2 linked regions of the Anolis sagrei genome follow. The protein of the gene in region 1 interacts with the protein of each later gene in a pairwise test. Links are inferred from orthologs where the notes say so. Each region holds a gene or a part of one and is shown on either strand. Other genes may lie near its edges.

The links.
Region 2: the proteins of LZTS2 (region 1) and RAD51D interact in binary tests that used the Homo sapiens proteins (3 or more experiments, as listed by UniProt). The two-hybrid records come from large-scale screens. The link is inferred for Anolis sagrei from reciprocal best matches to the Homo sapiens genes LZTS2 and RAD51D.

Annotation. Positions count from the first base shown.
Region 1 is NC_090023.1:215,468,546-215,475,788, forward strand, and holds the start of LZTS2 (leucine zipper putative tumor suppressor 2), read left to right. Parts: upstream 1-4,202; 5' UTR 4,203-4,638; intron 4,639-5,262; 5' UTR 5,263-5,312; intron 5,313-7,243. UniProt on the Homo sapiens protein: Negative regulator of katanin-mediated microtubule severing and release from the centrosome. Required for central spindle formation and the completion of cytokinesis.
Region 2 is NC_090031.1:28,352,968-28,360,073, forward strand, and holds the start of RAD51D (DNA repair protein RAD51 homolog 4), read left to right. Parts: upstream 1-4,074; 5' UTR 4,075-4,323; coding exon 4,324-4,402; intron 4,403-7,106. UniProt on the Homo sapiens protein: Involved in the homologous recombination repair (HRR) pathway of double-stranded DNA breaks arising during DNA replication or induced by DNA-damaging agents. Bind to single-stranded DNA (ssDNA) and has DNA-dependent ATPase activity.

The DNA of each region.
Region 1 (7,243 bases):
CCATCATCCCAGTCATTGTATCAGTAGGGATTATGGGTATTTACCTACTTTACTTAGGTGATCCCTCGTAGTCTGAGGATCCTTCGTAGTCTGAGGATCCTTAGATCCTTCAAGTGTAATATCCTGGCGGTGGGTCCGTAGGTGACTGTGGAGCCCTATTCTTGATCTGCATCTTCTCCCACACTAAGGGCATCGGTTTCCAGGTGGAAGGCTGTCCCGGTTGGGGTTGGCTTGACGTGCCTTCCTCTTGGCACGTTTCTCTCTTTTGCCCTCCATCCGTGCCTCTTCAAATTCTGCAGCACTGCTGGTCACAGCTGACCTCCAACTGGAGCGCTCAAGGGCCAGGGCTTCCCAGTTTTCAGTGTGCTGGGCTAAAAAACTGGAAGAAGACTGAGAGGGGACTTAAACTCGTTGGTACAGGGGAAAGTTGCTAGAGTTTACTGGGACCCCATCTACACTTCCATATAAAATCCGGATTATATGCTTTGAGCTGGTTTATATGGCAGTGTAGACTCATATAATCCACATCAAATCAGATACTGGATTATATGGCAGTGTAGATCCAGCCTGGTATCGTGAGTGTGTAGGTCTGGCTTAGATCTGAAATCACTGTAATCAGTCAGAGTTTGGGAAACTCAGACTCTCCCAGTCACTAGCTGAGAATTGTAACTCCAATATATGACTTTCCTGGGCTCTGTGTAGGATTCATTCAATTGAATGTTTGGCATGTGGAGAAATGGCTTGAAAGTGTGTATTCAGGGCCTGGGAGTTGGCAGCATGCAAATAGTGAGGTGTTGGTGTCTTTTGATCCAAGTTTTGCTTCCAGGGCAAGCTTTCTCTGATGTTTCCTTCCAGTACATGAAGTGCCTAACTTGTCCTGGCAGTTGCTCCTTTTTCCTTTCAGAATATTCTCTTTCCATTTTACAAGTGCATGGGACCAGCCTGGCTCCATTGAGATCAATATATGGGGAAAAAATCTGTGTAGAAGTATTTATTGACCTCCCTTTTCTCACACATCCCAGAACCACATCTGGTCTTGGCATCCCAGCCTTGATTTAACAAGAAAAGAGAAGGTCAGGGGTGAATGGCGGGAAAGAAAAGGGGGGCATTGGGTCACCCAAGTAAAAATATTTTTCCACCACCAATTATATTTTCCTTTAGTCTCCAAATTTCTAGCTTTGTAATAACTTTAAAATTCCATTGCACATTTAGAAATGCAGTTTAGGCATCCAAAGCAAAGGGAAAACATTACTGAAAGGGGTGTGAACATTGCAAATATAACAGTTCTAGGAATGAAGGTCTCACTTTCTGCAATGCTAGCAATTTGGAGATTAGAGGCGGGGGCGGGGGGGGGGGCGGGGGGGGGGAAACATTTGTGGAACAGAATTGTTATGCGGATGTGAGATGGGTGGGGAGGCCTCATTTTGGCCCTTCCCATAGCTATAGGTAAATGTAAAGGTTTTCCCCTGACAATAAGACCAGTTGCATCTGACTCTGGGGGTTGGTGCTAATTTTCAATTTCTCAGCCGAAGAGCTGGCGTTGTTCATAGACATCTCCAAGGTCATGTGACCAGCATGACTGCATGGAATGCCGTTAACTTCCTGTTGGAGCAGTACTTATTGAGCTACTCACATTTGCATGTTTTCGAACTGCTAGGTTGGCAGAAGCTGGGGCTAACAGTGGGAGCTCATGCTGCTCCCCGGATTTGAACCTGCAACCTTTCAGTCAGCAAGTTCAGCAGCAGTCTAACCCACTGCACCTCCGGGGGTCCTTCTGTAGCTATACTCCAGGAAAAGTTAGTATGGCAAATGCTGTATACATATAGGCAAGTGGACCCTTCCTATTCAGTGTTGGTCTACAGATCAGGATGCAAAGTAGACCTTTGTTTACTGTAGCTAGTTTAAGTCAAAACGCTCCTGCTCAACTGGTTAGGGGAGTATAGTCTTTGCGGTTTGCATGGTTTATTTCTGAGTGTTGTTGCAAGCTGTATCTCTTGGGCATGCCCCAGCTTAGGACTGAATTTGGTTTGAATTTGCATTTCGTTTCTTATTCTGTGGAACCTATTATGGCTTTGAACCTCACTTTTCCCATCAGCAAGGTGGAGCTAGAATGAATGCCATTGCAATCAGGATCATTTTCACAGCACATTCAACCAACACATGTTTATTCATTGTCTCATTAGTTTCAATGGTGCTTCCTTCCTTCCAAGCAAGAGTACTTTGGTTTGCAGATTTAGAGCAGAAAGCAAGGATTTGTAGTTTCAGAGGTATGCTTCTCATACCTCTGAAACTACAAATCCCTGAAAGATTGAAAGTGGCAAGTCACACTCTCTCAGCCCCAGAGGAAAGCAATGGCATCCCCCCTCTAATCAGGCCTTATCAGAAATTATTTGAAGGCACAAAACAACAAATTACTCTTAAAATTACAATTGGAAAAAATACATGGTCCTCATGGGTGAAGATGGGGATTCTAGTCTGAGAGTGCATCAGTGATGTAGAATTGTTGCAGTTTGACACTACTTTAACTCCTTATGGCTCAGTGCTATGGAGTCCTGGGATTTGTAGTTTGGTGAGGAACCCACACTTTTTGGCAGAAAAGGTAAAAGACTTTGTAAAACTACAACTTTCATGTTTCTCTAGGTGGTGTCAAACTGCAATATTCTACAGTGTAGATCAGGCATGGGCAAATTTGGGCCCTCCAGGTGTTTTGGATTTCAACTCCCACAATTCCTAACAGCCTTGGGGCCCTTTCCCCCCTCAGCTGCCGGAGGGCCCAAGTTTGCCTATGCCTTTTCTCACTTGTTCCTTGGAAAAACCTCACTTTTATAATGATGACAAGATTCAAAGAATTGTTGAAGGCTTTCATGGCTGGAATCACTGGGTTGTTATGTTTTCCAGGCTGTATGGCCATGTTCCAGAAATATTCTCTCCTGACGTTTCACCTGCATGTATCTCAGGCATCCTCAGAGGTTGTGAGGTCTGTTGGAAACTAGGAAAATGGGATCTATATATTTGTGGAATGTCCAGGGTGGGAGAAAGAACTGTTGCCTGTTTGAGGTAGTGAATGTGAATGTTTCAATTGGTCACCTTGATTAGCATTTAATGGCCTAGCAGTTTCAAGGTTTGGCTTCCTACTGCTTGGGGGAATCTTTTGTTGGGAGGTGATTAGTTGACCCAGATTTTCTTGTCTGGAATTCCCCTGTGTTTGAGTATTGTTCTTTATTTACTGTTATGATTTTAGAGTTTTTAAATACCAGATTTTGTTCATTTTCATGGTTTCCTCCTTTCTGTTGAAATTGCCCACATGCTTGTGGATTTCCATTGCTTCTCTGTGTAGTCTGACATGGTGGTTGTTAGAGTGGCCCAGAATTCTCTGTTCTCAAATAATATGCTGTGTCCAGGTTGGTTCATCAGGTGCTCTGCTATGGCTGACTTCTCTAGTTGAAGTAGTCTGCAGTGCCTTTCATGTTCCTTGATTCCTGTTTGGGCAATGCTGCGTTTGGTGGTCCCTATGTAGACATTCCACAGATATATAAACATTCCACACACATATAAAAACTCGATTTTCCTAGTGTCCAGCAGACCTCTGAGAATGCCTGCCATAGATGCAGGCAAAATGTCAGGAGAGAATGCTTCTGGAACATGACCATACATACATACAACCCAAGAGTCAAAGAATTTGACAGAGGACAGAAAGTCTTAGGATGAATGTTTTCTTCCCAGACCGGTCTTATCTGCTTCAAAAGCCTGTGAGAAAGTAAGGAGTAAGATGGCCATTTTTAATTGGGTCAACATTTGTTGACAAATACATGCTAGCAGGCTTTTTCGAGGCTGTTCAGGCTGTTCTTCAGAGCTCGGTCTTTCAGCTGTGTGGCAGTCAGTGGAAGATTTCCTGCCGACAGCAGCTGCTCAGGGAGTAGTTCATTGAGTGCTAGGGAATGATCTGGCTCTGCTTTGTGTTTGGAGCACGAAAGGGTCTGTAATGTGATGCTTGGACTTTTAAAGCAGGGGGGACTGAGGTGGGCAAGAGTAGAGAAGACTATGGGGCTCCTGCTTAGTTTGTTTTGTATGCCAGCCAGAGAGTAGGAGGAAGAAAATCCCCAGGGCTTTCCTTTGGCCCACATCCAAGAGGTTTTGCGCACTCTTCTGTGCCAGGTGCAGGAAAGAAGCAAATCTTTACAGATAGCTGCCTTCTAGCCTGGATCCTAAGTTTGGTGGCTCATGTGCCTGGACTTGGAGTGTCTCTCTCTGGGTTATGTCTTGAAGCGGGCGAGGAAACCAATGAGAACGTGATGTGCACCGCACATGTGGGAACACGCACACACAAACCCAGTGGTTAGCAGGGAAGAAATGTGAAGCGACAGCCGCTCCTCCCCGCCTGGCCTGTGATTAGCTGGGGAGGAATGTTTGGCTGTGACGTGGGCCAATTCCTCCAGCCTTTCTCTGGTTTTGGAGGAGAGTTGGTAATGTTAGCAAAGAGGGCAAGCAGCAGGAGTCAACTTTCAATCACAAGTGGTTTGACTCTTGCAAGATGTGGTGGCCAGCCTCCTCTGCCATTTTCCTGCACCGAGAAGCTTCTCCAGGGGTTTCTCTTCTGGTCCAGAAGTCTGGCAGCTGTTGACTGAGGTTGCATTTTTGGTATGTATCTCTTTCTTCTCTTCCCCTCCCTCTCTGCATGCCAAAATGTACTGTATACAGGATGCAAGGCAGAGTTGTTGGTGTTGCCGTTCAATATTCTTTGGCACAATTTGAGATGCAGTGCTGCCTAAAGCCGTCCCTCCCTCTCCTGATCATCCTACAACAAATTTCAGGGGAGAGAAAACAAGCAAACAAACTCTGGCTGTGCTTGTGTTTGAAATTTGGATCTCAGAGCTGGCTTTTTGGGCGGGGAACACCATTTTGAAGCAGCTGAATGTCTAAGTGCAAATAAAATAGGGGGGTAAAGTGAAGCATTGCTAAATTTGAACAGGAAAGTGAACAAGAAAGAACTGTTTTAATGGCTAATGTGGAGGTTGAAGCGTCAAAGTACTGACTGTTATTAACAAAGTATGGCTCTCTGTATTCAGTTCTTAGACCATATTGAGTACATCGTCTTCTTTTTGCTTTTGGATAAGGAATTAGCAGCAGCTCTGGAGTTTATTAGTTTGCTATGGGAACTTCTGTCATTACGTACCTGCAATCCTGATTTATTGTGTAAAGCATATGCCAAACACCCTATTGTATAATTTTAGTTTTTAAACTTTAGTATTTTTGGTATTTCAGGAGAAAGGTGGTATCCGGGGAATTTACTTCACTTTCAAAACTTGAGGCAGGTAAGTTGTGTGAGGAAGAAGTTTATAGGGCTTTTGAGGGAAAGATATGAGTTGTAAACTGAATGGAGGTCTGTTGTTGAAGGCTTTCATGGCTGGAACCATTGGGTTGCTATGAGGTGCCTTGGGGGTGCTGTTCTTTGTTTAACTTTAGATAGCTCTCTGTTCACATGCAATGCAAACTAGTTGACTTTAAGAGTAGGTCTGATAGGTATCAGGCACTTTCTGATTAGATCAAAGCCTAGCAGATTTGTTTGAAATAGAGCATGACTTCACTTGTAGGTGGAGGGCACCCTTTTCCTCCCCCCACATCTTTCCTTTCTCATTATTTTGTTATTTTGATTTTTTTCTTTGCTCTTCTCAAATTTGTATTTGTCACTGGACTGATAGTCTATGGTTATTCTGGAGAATGTAAAACTAATCAAACAAAGTAATCATATACATTTAAATGACAACAGTCCAGGATGGTACTCACCAACACACTTCTTGGCAATGTTGTGTTGAACTGTGTCTCTTGTGGATTGAATAAAGTCTTTTTCCTCACTATGTAAGGTAATTAGCTCAACTGTGCAAGGACATTATGCATTATCATCCAACTTTAATATGTTTTATACCACTGTTTTATATTATCTGCTTGTAATTGTTTATTTATTTATGTATTTACTTTATTTATACCCTGCCCTCTCTCACCCCGAAGGAGACTCAGAGCGGCTTACAGATTGGCAACAATTCAGTGCCATATAAACAAACATATAAGAACAATAAGGCTATATATTTAAACTATAAAAGTTAAGAAAAAAATCTATGCATTAAAATGAATTATTAACACCACACAAATCCAAAGTCATAGTCCAGGATCCATTTCAATCATGTTGAAATTATTTCGTATCCTCTTATTGCACTGAGTTACTATCCGAAGGCTTGGTCCCATAGCCAAGTTTTTGATTTCTTTCTATAGGTCAGGAGGGAGGGAGCTGATCTAATTTTGTTGGGGAGGGAGTTCCATAATTGATGGGCCACCACTGAGAAGGCCCTGTCTCTCATCCCCACCAATCATGTCTGTGAAGTAGGTAGGACCAGAAGGGCCTCCCCAGAAGATCTTAACCTCCATGGTAGTTCATAGAGCAGTGGTTCTCAACCATCCTAATGCCAGGAACCCTTCATACAGTTCCCCATGTTGTGGTGACCCCTAACATTATTTTCGTTTCTACTTCATAACCGTAATTTTGCTACTGTTATGTATCATAATGTAAATATCTGATATGCAGGATATATTTTCATTCATTGGATCAAATTTGGCACAAATACCTTATATGCCCAAATTTGAATACTTGTGGGATTGGTGGGGGTTGAATTTGTCATTTGGGAGTTATAATTGCTAGGATTTATCGTCAACATACAATCTGAATTCCGCCAATGATGGAACTGTACAAAATTTGGCACACACAACTCCCATGACCAAGAGAAAATACTGGAAAGTTTTGGTGGGCATTGACCTTGAGTTTTGGAGTTGTAGTTCACCTACATCTAGAGAACACTGTGGGTCCAAACAATGATGGATCTGGACCAAACTTGGCACAAATCCTCAATATGCCCAAATATGAACAGTGGTGGAGTTTGGAGAAAATAAACCTTGACATTTTGGAGTTGTAGTTGCTGGGATTTATAGTTCACCTACAATCAAAGAGCATTCTGAACTCCACCAACGATAGCATTGGGCCAAACTTCCCACACAGAACCCCCAGGACCAACAGAAAATACTGAATTTTCTGATAGTCTTTCGTGATCCCTTGTGACCCCCCCCCTCCCCCCCCGCAAGAGGTCCTGACCCCCAGGTTGAGAAACACTGTCATAGAGGGAGGTACGTTCCGACCATTTAGGGCTTTATAGTCTAAAGCCAGCCCTTTGAATTGTGCTCGGTAGCAGACTAGTGG
Region 2 (7,106 bases), on another chromosome or scaffold:
CAGAGCTCCCTGTCGGCCGTCACCACCCCCAGCTCCCTCAAGGTCAGTCCAGTCACTTCAAGGATGCCATCCATCCATCTTGCCCTTGGTCGGCCCCTCTTCCTTTTGCCTTCCACTTTCCCCAGCATAATTGTCTTCTCTAGGCTTTGCTGTCTCCTCATGATGTGGCCAAAGTACTTCAACTTATTATTATTATTTATAATAATATAATATTATTTTATATTTGGGCTGCAAAAGATGGGACATAATGAGGTTGAACCCAGAACTCCCTGCTTTCAAGCTGACCTGCAGCAGGGAGTTCCTCAGTTCTCTATTGCCTCGCTTAGCCCAACCTACATGAATGTGGCCTCAGCGGCAGCTGCAACCCAGAAGTCTTCTTATTACTTCGCTTTCTTCTCCTGCCTAACATTATAAATAATCCCCCAATAAAATATCAATTAATTGTAACTTTTTCCTCTCAATGGTGTTACTTTGTGTCTTTTACTGCCTCCAAAACTCTTCTCTGCATAAACATTTCCTCTCCCAGGCTGCAGATGGCTGCCGGCCTTCCCGGGATGCAATTTTCGTGTCCTGAGGAGGCCGAAACTGCGCTCCCCTGAACTGCGGATACAGAAACCCATTGGGCCCCCGTATCTGCGAGTCAACGGATCGCTTCAAACTCGGTGCCATTCTTCTCCGGAGAGAATTCTAAGACTAATGGCTATCTCAATTTCGCTCCACTAACTCCTCTGCCCCGGGAATAACCATTTTTGAGTTCAAAACCTCAACCTGGAGCCCAGTTGTTCTTCTGAAGATATTGCCTTGCTGCCACCATTTTGTGGATACCCAGGGAGCCTGGGAAACTGTCGCGGTCACCCCAAGATGTCGGCAGGCCGCCTTGGTCCTTGGTGAGGAGGGATCTGTAGTTCTCTCCATGGATCTTGATCTCCAGCACTGGCAGTCGCCTCATAAGAACTCTATGGACTCTGGGACACCTTTTCCAACTTGTTTCCCGTGGATTTTACAACTTTTATCAACTTTTGCCAACTTTTGAAAACTTTCTGGAACTCTTTCTCCAAGCCCCATGGATTCAATTTCATGACTTAGGGACTATATGATTTCACGATATTGGACTCTCTATGAACTTTGGTGGGTGGGATGAGTTTATATGAATGTCCTTTTCCCCCTTTTCCCCTGTGCATGCTTTATGAACCCCATATATGCGCCTATGTATAAAAATATGGAAAGCCACCCTTTCGTGACCCCAGCATGACAAACGCTTGGGAAATTCTTTCCTATTTCCTGAGGTGAATTGACTTAAGGACTCCAACAAAGACTTAATATAATAACAATGATAACTATGGGTCTAATAATTATATATAGAGAGAATACTAATGTAATAATATAATAATAGTAATATATAAGATGTATAATTAATAATAAGCATATTAAATATATAAGATAATAATACATTAGTAATAGTAATAATATGTAAGGTATAGATAATGTGATAAGAATAATATAATATATACATAATATAATACCAATAATAAAATAATAATATTAGTAAGAATATATATATATATATATATATAACAATAAGAATGAAATAGTTATATAATATATAAAATATAATGTAATACTATTAATATTAATATAATATAATATAAGTAAAGGTAAAGGTTTTCCCCTGACATTAAGTCCAGTCTGGGGGGTCGGTGCTCATCTCCATTTCTAAGCCAAAGAGCCGGTGTTGTCCGTAGACACCTCCAAGGTCATGTGGCCGGAATGACTTCATGGAGTGCTGATAACCTATATATATAAAAATGCTCTGGGCATAATGAGTTCCTTAAAAACAAAAGAACCAGTGAACGAAATCACACCAAATTTGGCAACAAAATGTCTCACAACACAAGGAGTGACCATCACTCAAAAATTATGATTTTGTCATTTGGGAGTTGTACTTGCTAGGATTTATAGTTCACCTACAATCAAAGAGCATTCTGAACTCCATCAACGATGGGATTGAACCAAACTTGGCACACAAAACTCCCATGACCAACAGAAAATACTGGAAGGGTTTGGTGGGCATTGACCTTGAGTTTGAGAGTTATAGTTCACCTACATCCAGATAGCACTGTGGACTCAAACAATGATGGATCTGGACCAAACGTGGCACAAGCACTCAATACACCCAAATGTGAACACAGAAGGAGTTTGGGGGAAATAGATCTTAACATTTGGGAGTTGTAGTCACGGGGATTCACAGTTCACCTACAATCAAAGAGCATTCTGAAACCCACGAATGAGAATCGGGGCAAACTTCCCACACAGAAGCCCCATGACCAACAGAAAATACTTAAGGCCATCCAAGGCCATTTTCCAGATCAATAGACTGGGCCACAGCAACGCGTGGCAGGGGACAGCTAAATAATATAATATAATATAATATAATATAATATAATATAATATAATATCTAGTATCTATGTATATAATAAAAGTCAAAACTTGTACGCGGAGGACAAAAGTGTGGCGGGAGGAGTATGTGCCAGCGTTTTGATTGGCTGCTGCAGTGGTGCTATTTGCATATGGTCTCTGATTGGCCAGCTTCAATAGGAGCCCCTGGTGGAGAAAAGAGTTCATGGCAGAAACGGGGACATGAGAAGGAAATTTGCATATGGTCTCTGATTGGCCAGCCTCAATTCCAAGATTCCGAGATGACAAACAGAGGAAAGGAAAAGGCCAGAGGGGGCTGAGTCAGACAATTACCAATACAGAGCAGATTTGGCACACAAAGCCCCCATGACCTACTCGACACCCTACTGCAGTTTGGAGGAGGATGAACCATGGATGATGGGACTTGCAGTACCATCACTCACATTCTGAGACCGCTGTTAATCTCATCCAATGACTGATCAGGACCAAACTTGGCACATAGACCTCTCATGACCCACTTTACGTCCTGGTGTGGTTTGGCGGGGGATGGACCATGGATTATGGAACTTGCAGTACCTTTGCTCAATTCTTGAAACCACTGCAACCCTCATGCAATTACTGATAAAGATCAAACTTGGCACACTGAGTCTCCATGGCGCACTCTACATCCTGGGGCAGTTTGGGGGAGGATGCACCATGGACGATGGGACTTGCAATAACTGCACTCCTTTCCTAAGACCATTACAACTGCCAACAATGATGAATCAGGACCACAATTTACACAGAGAGCCCGCATGACCCACTCTACATCCTGGTGCGGTTTGGAAGAATTTGACAATGGATGATGGGACTTGCAGTCACTTCACTCACTTCCTGAGACCACTGAGCCCCTCGCCAATGACTAATCAAGACCAAACTTGGCACACAGAGTCCCCATGACCCACTCTACATCCTGGTGCACTTTCGAGGAGGACAGACCATGGATGATGGGACTTCAAGTACCTCTACTCCCTTCCCAAGAATGCTGCAACCCGCATCTAATGTCCGATCAAGACCAAACTTGGCACACAGAACCTCCATGACCCACTCTACATCCTGATGCTGTTTGGAGGAGGACGGATGATGGGACTTCCAGTACCTTCACTCACTTCCTGAAACCACAGCGACACTTATCCAAATACCAAGAAAGACCTAACTTGGCACAGAGAGCCCCCTTGGCTAACTCAACATTCTGGTGATGTTTGTGGGAGAGTATGGATGATGGGGGAGAACAGACAATGGATGATGGGACTTGCAGTACCTAAACTCACTTTCTGAGACCACTGTGACCCTCATCCAATGAATGATCAAGAACAGAACTTGGTGCACAGAGCCCCCACGATCCACTCTCCATTCTGGTGCAATTTGGAGGAGGATGGACCACAGATGATTGGATTCGAAGTACCTTCACTAACTTCCTGAGACCATTGCGAGCCATCTAAATAACTGATAAAGACCAACCTTGATACACAATTCCTTTCTCAAATAACCCGGGCAGCGCCGGGTCCCCAAGCTAGTAATATAATATAATAACAAAATTTCTCAATGTGGCTCCCTCCCGCACTCCCGTGCCTGGCCAGGAGAGGGCGCCAAAGCCCATCTCTTTCCCTTCTAGGGATGGAAGGAGGCGACAGAGAGCTGCAGCCTGGGAAAGGAAACTACTTTTTCCTTTTCCTGCAAAGGGACTTTGCAACATGGGGGCAAGGAGTTCCCTTCCTGGCCTTGCCAAGCCCTTCTTTCCAACGAGGCCCACGAGTTGCATGCTTTTGCTTTCCTCTCCCACCCCCAGAAATGTCAATATTTGGCATTGATTTCTCCCTTCTTTCCTTCCTTCCTCCCTTGCATGTTTTTGCCTCTTTCATAAGGCCATGATCCTCCGACCCGGGTTGTGCCCGGGACTCACGCCGGAAGCGGTGGCCCTCCTCCGAGGCCAAGGCATCCAAACAGGTCAGTGCTCAAGCAGAGGCTGGGCGGGCATCTGTCGGGAGGGGTCGAATGGTGCCTTCCCTTATGGTTGAAGGGGGTCAGACTAGATGGCCCTTGGGGGTCCCTTCCAACTCTAGGAATCTAATAATAATAATAATGTATACTACTACTACTACTACTTACTACTACTACTACTAATTGTAATTCTATCTTTATGGCAGAAGAGGGTCAGACTAGATGGCCCTTGGGGGTCCCTTCCAACTCTAGGAACCTAATAATAATGTATACTACTACTACTAATAGTAATTCTATCTTTATGGCAGAAGAGGGTCAGACTAGATGGCCCTTGGGGGTCCCTTCCAACTCTAGGAACCTAATAATAATAATGTATACTACTACTACTAATAATAATAATAGTAATTCTATCTTTATGGCAGAAGAGGGTCAGACTAGATAGCCCTTGGGGGTCCCTTCCAACTCTAGGAACCTAATAATAATGTATACTACTACTACTACTACTAATAGTAATAGTAATTCTATCTTTATGGCAGAAGAGGGTCAGACTAGATGGCCCTTGGGGGTCCCTTCCAACTCTAGGAACCTAATAATAATAATGTATACTACTACTACTAATAATAATAATAGTAATTCTATCTTTATGGAAAAAGAGGGTCAGACTAGATAGCCCTTGGGGGTCCCTTCCAACTCTAGGAATCTAATAATAATGTATACTACTACTACTACTACTACTACTAATAGTAATAGTATTTCTATCTTTATGGCAGAAGAGGGTCAGACTAGATGGCCCTTGGGGGTCCCTTCCAACTCTAGGAACCTAATAATAATGTATACTACTACTACTACTAATAATAATAATAGTATTTCTATCTTTATGGCAGAAGAGGGTCAGACTAGATGGCCCTTGGGGGTCCCTTCCAACTCTAGGAACCTAATAATAATGTATACTACTACTACTACTACTAATAGTAATAGTAATTCTATCTTTATGGCAGAAGAGGGTCAGACTAGATGGCCCTTGGGGGTCCCTTCCAACTCTAGGAACCTAATAATAATAATGTATACTACTACTACTAATAATAATAATAGTAATTCTATCTTTATGGCAGAAGAGGGTCAGACTAGATAGCCCTTGGGGGTCCCTTCCAACTCTAGGAATCTAATAATAATGTATACTACTACTACTACTACTAATAGTAATAGTAATTCTATCTTTATGGCAGAAGAGGGTCAGACTAGATGGCTCTTGGGGTCCCTTCCAACTCTAGGAATCTAATAATAATGTATACTACTACTACTACTACTAATAATAATAGTAATTCTATCTTTATGGCAGAAGAGGGTCAGACTAGATGGCCCTTGGGGGTCCCTTCCAACTCTAGGAACCTAATAATAATAATGTATACTACTACTACTAATAATAATAATAATAGTAATTCTATCTTTATGGCAGAAGAGGGTCAGACTAGATAGCCCTCTTCTGCCATAACTCTAGGAATCTAATAATAATGTATACTACTACTACTACTACTACTAATAGTAATTCTATCTTTATGGCAGAAGAGGGTCAGACTAGATGGCCCTTGGGGGTCCCTTCCAACTCTAGGAATCTAATAATAATAATGCATACTACTACTACTACTAATAATAATAATAATAATTCTATCTTTATGGCAGAAGAGGGTCAGACTAGATGGCCCTTGGGGGTCCCTTTCAACTCTAGGAATCTAATAATAATAATGTATACTACTACTACTACTAATAATAATAATAGTAATTCTATCTTTATGGCAGAAGAGGGTCAGACTAGATGGCCCTTGGGGGTCCCTTCCAACTTTAGGAATCTAATAATAATAATGCATACTACTACTACTACTACTAATAATAATAATAATTCTATCTTTATGGCAGAAGAGGGTCAGACTAGATGGCCCTTGGGGGTCCCTTTCAACTCTAGGAATCTAATAATAATAATGTATACTACTACTACTACTACTACTACTAATAGTAATTCTATCTTTATGGCAGAAGAGGGTCAGACTAGATGGCCCTTGGGGGTCCCTTCCAACTCTAGGAATCTAATAATAATAATGCATACTACTACTACTACTACTACTAATAATAATAATAATTCTATCTTTATGGCAGAAGAGGGTCAGACTAGATGGCCCTTGGGGGTTCCTTCCAACTCTAGGAATCTAATAATAATAATGCATACTACTACTACTACTACTACTACTAATAATAATTCTATCTTTATGGCAGAAGAGGGTCAGACTAGATGGCCCTTGGGGGTCCCTTTCAACTCTAGGAATCTAATAATAATAATGTATACTACTACTACTACTACTAATAATAATAATAATAATAGTAATTCTATCTTTATGGCAGAAGAGGGTCAGACTAGATGGCCCTTGGAGGTCCCTTCCAACTCTAGGAATCTAATAATAATGTATACTACTACTACTAATAGTAATTCTATCTTTATGACGGAAGAGGGTCAGACTAGATGGCCCTTGTGGCTCCTTTCCAACTTTAGGAGTATAGTACATAGATAAATAATATCATCTTCCTTTATGGCAAAATGGGGGTCAGACTAAATGGACTTTGGGGACTCTTCCAACTCCAGGAGTATAATAATAATAATAATAATAATAATAATAATAATAATAATAATAAATAGATATTAAATTCCTTTATGGCAAAA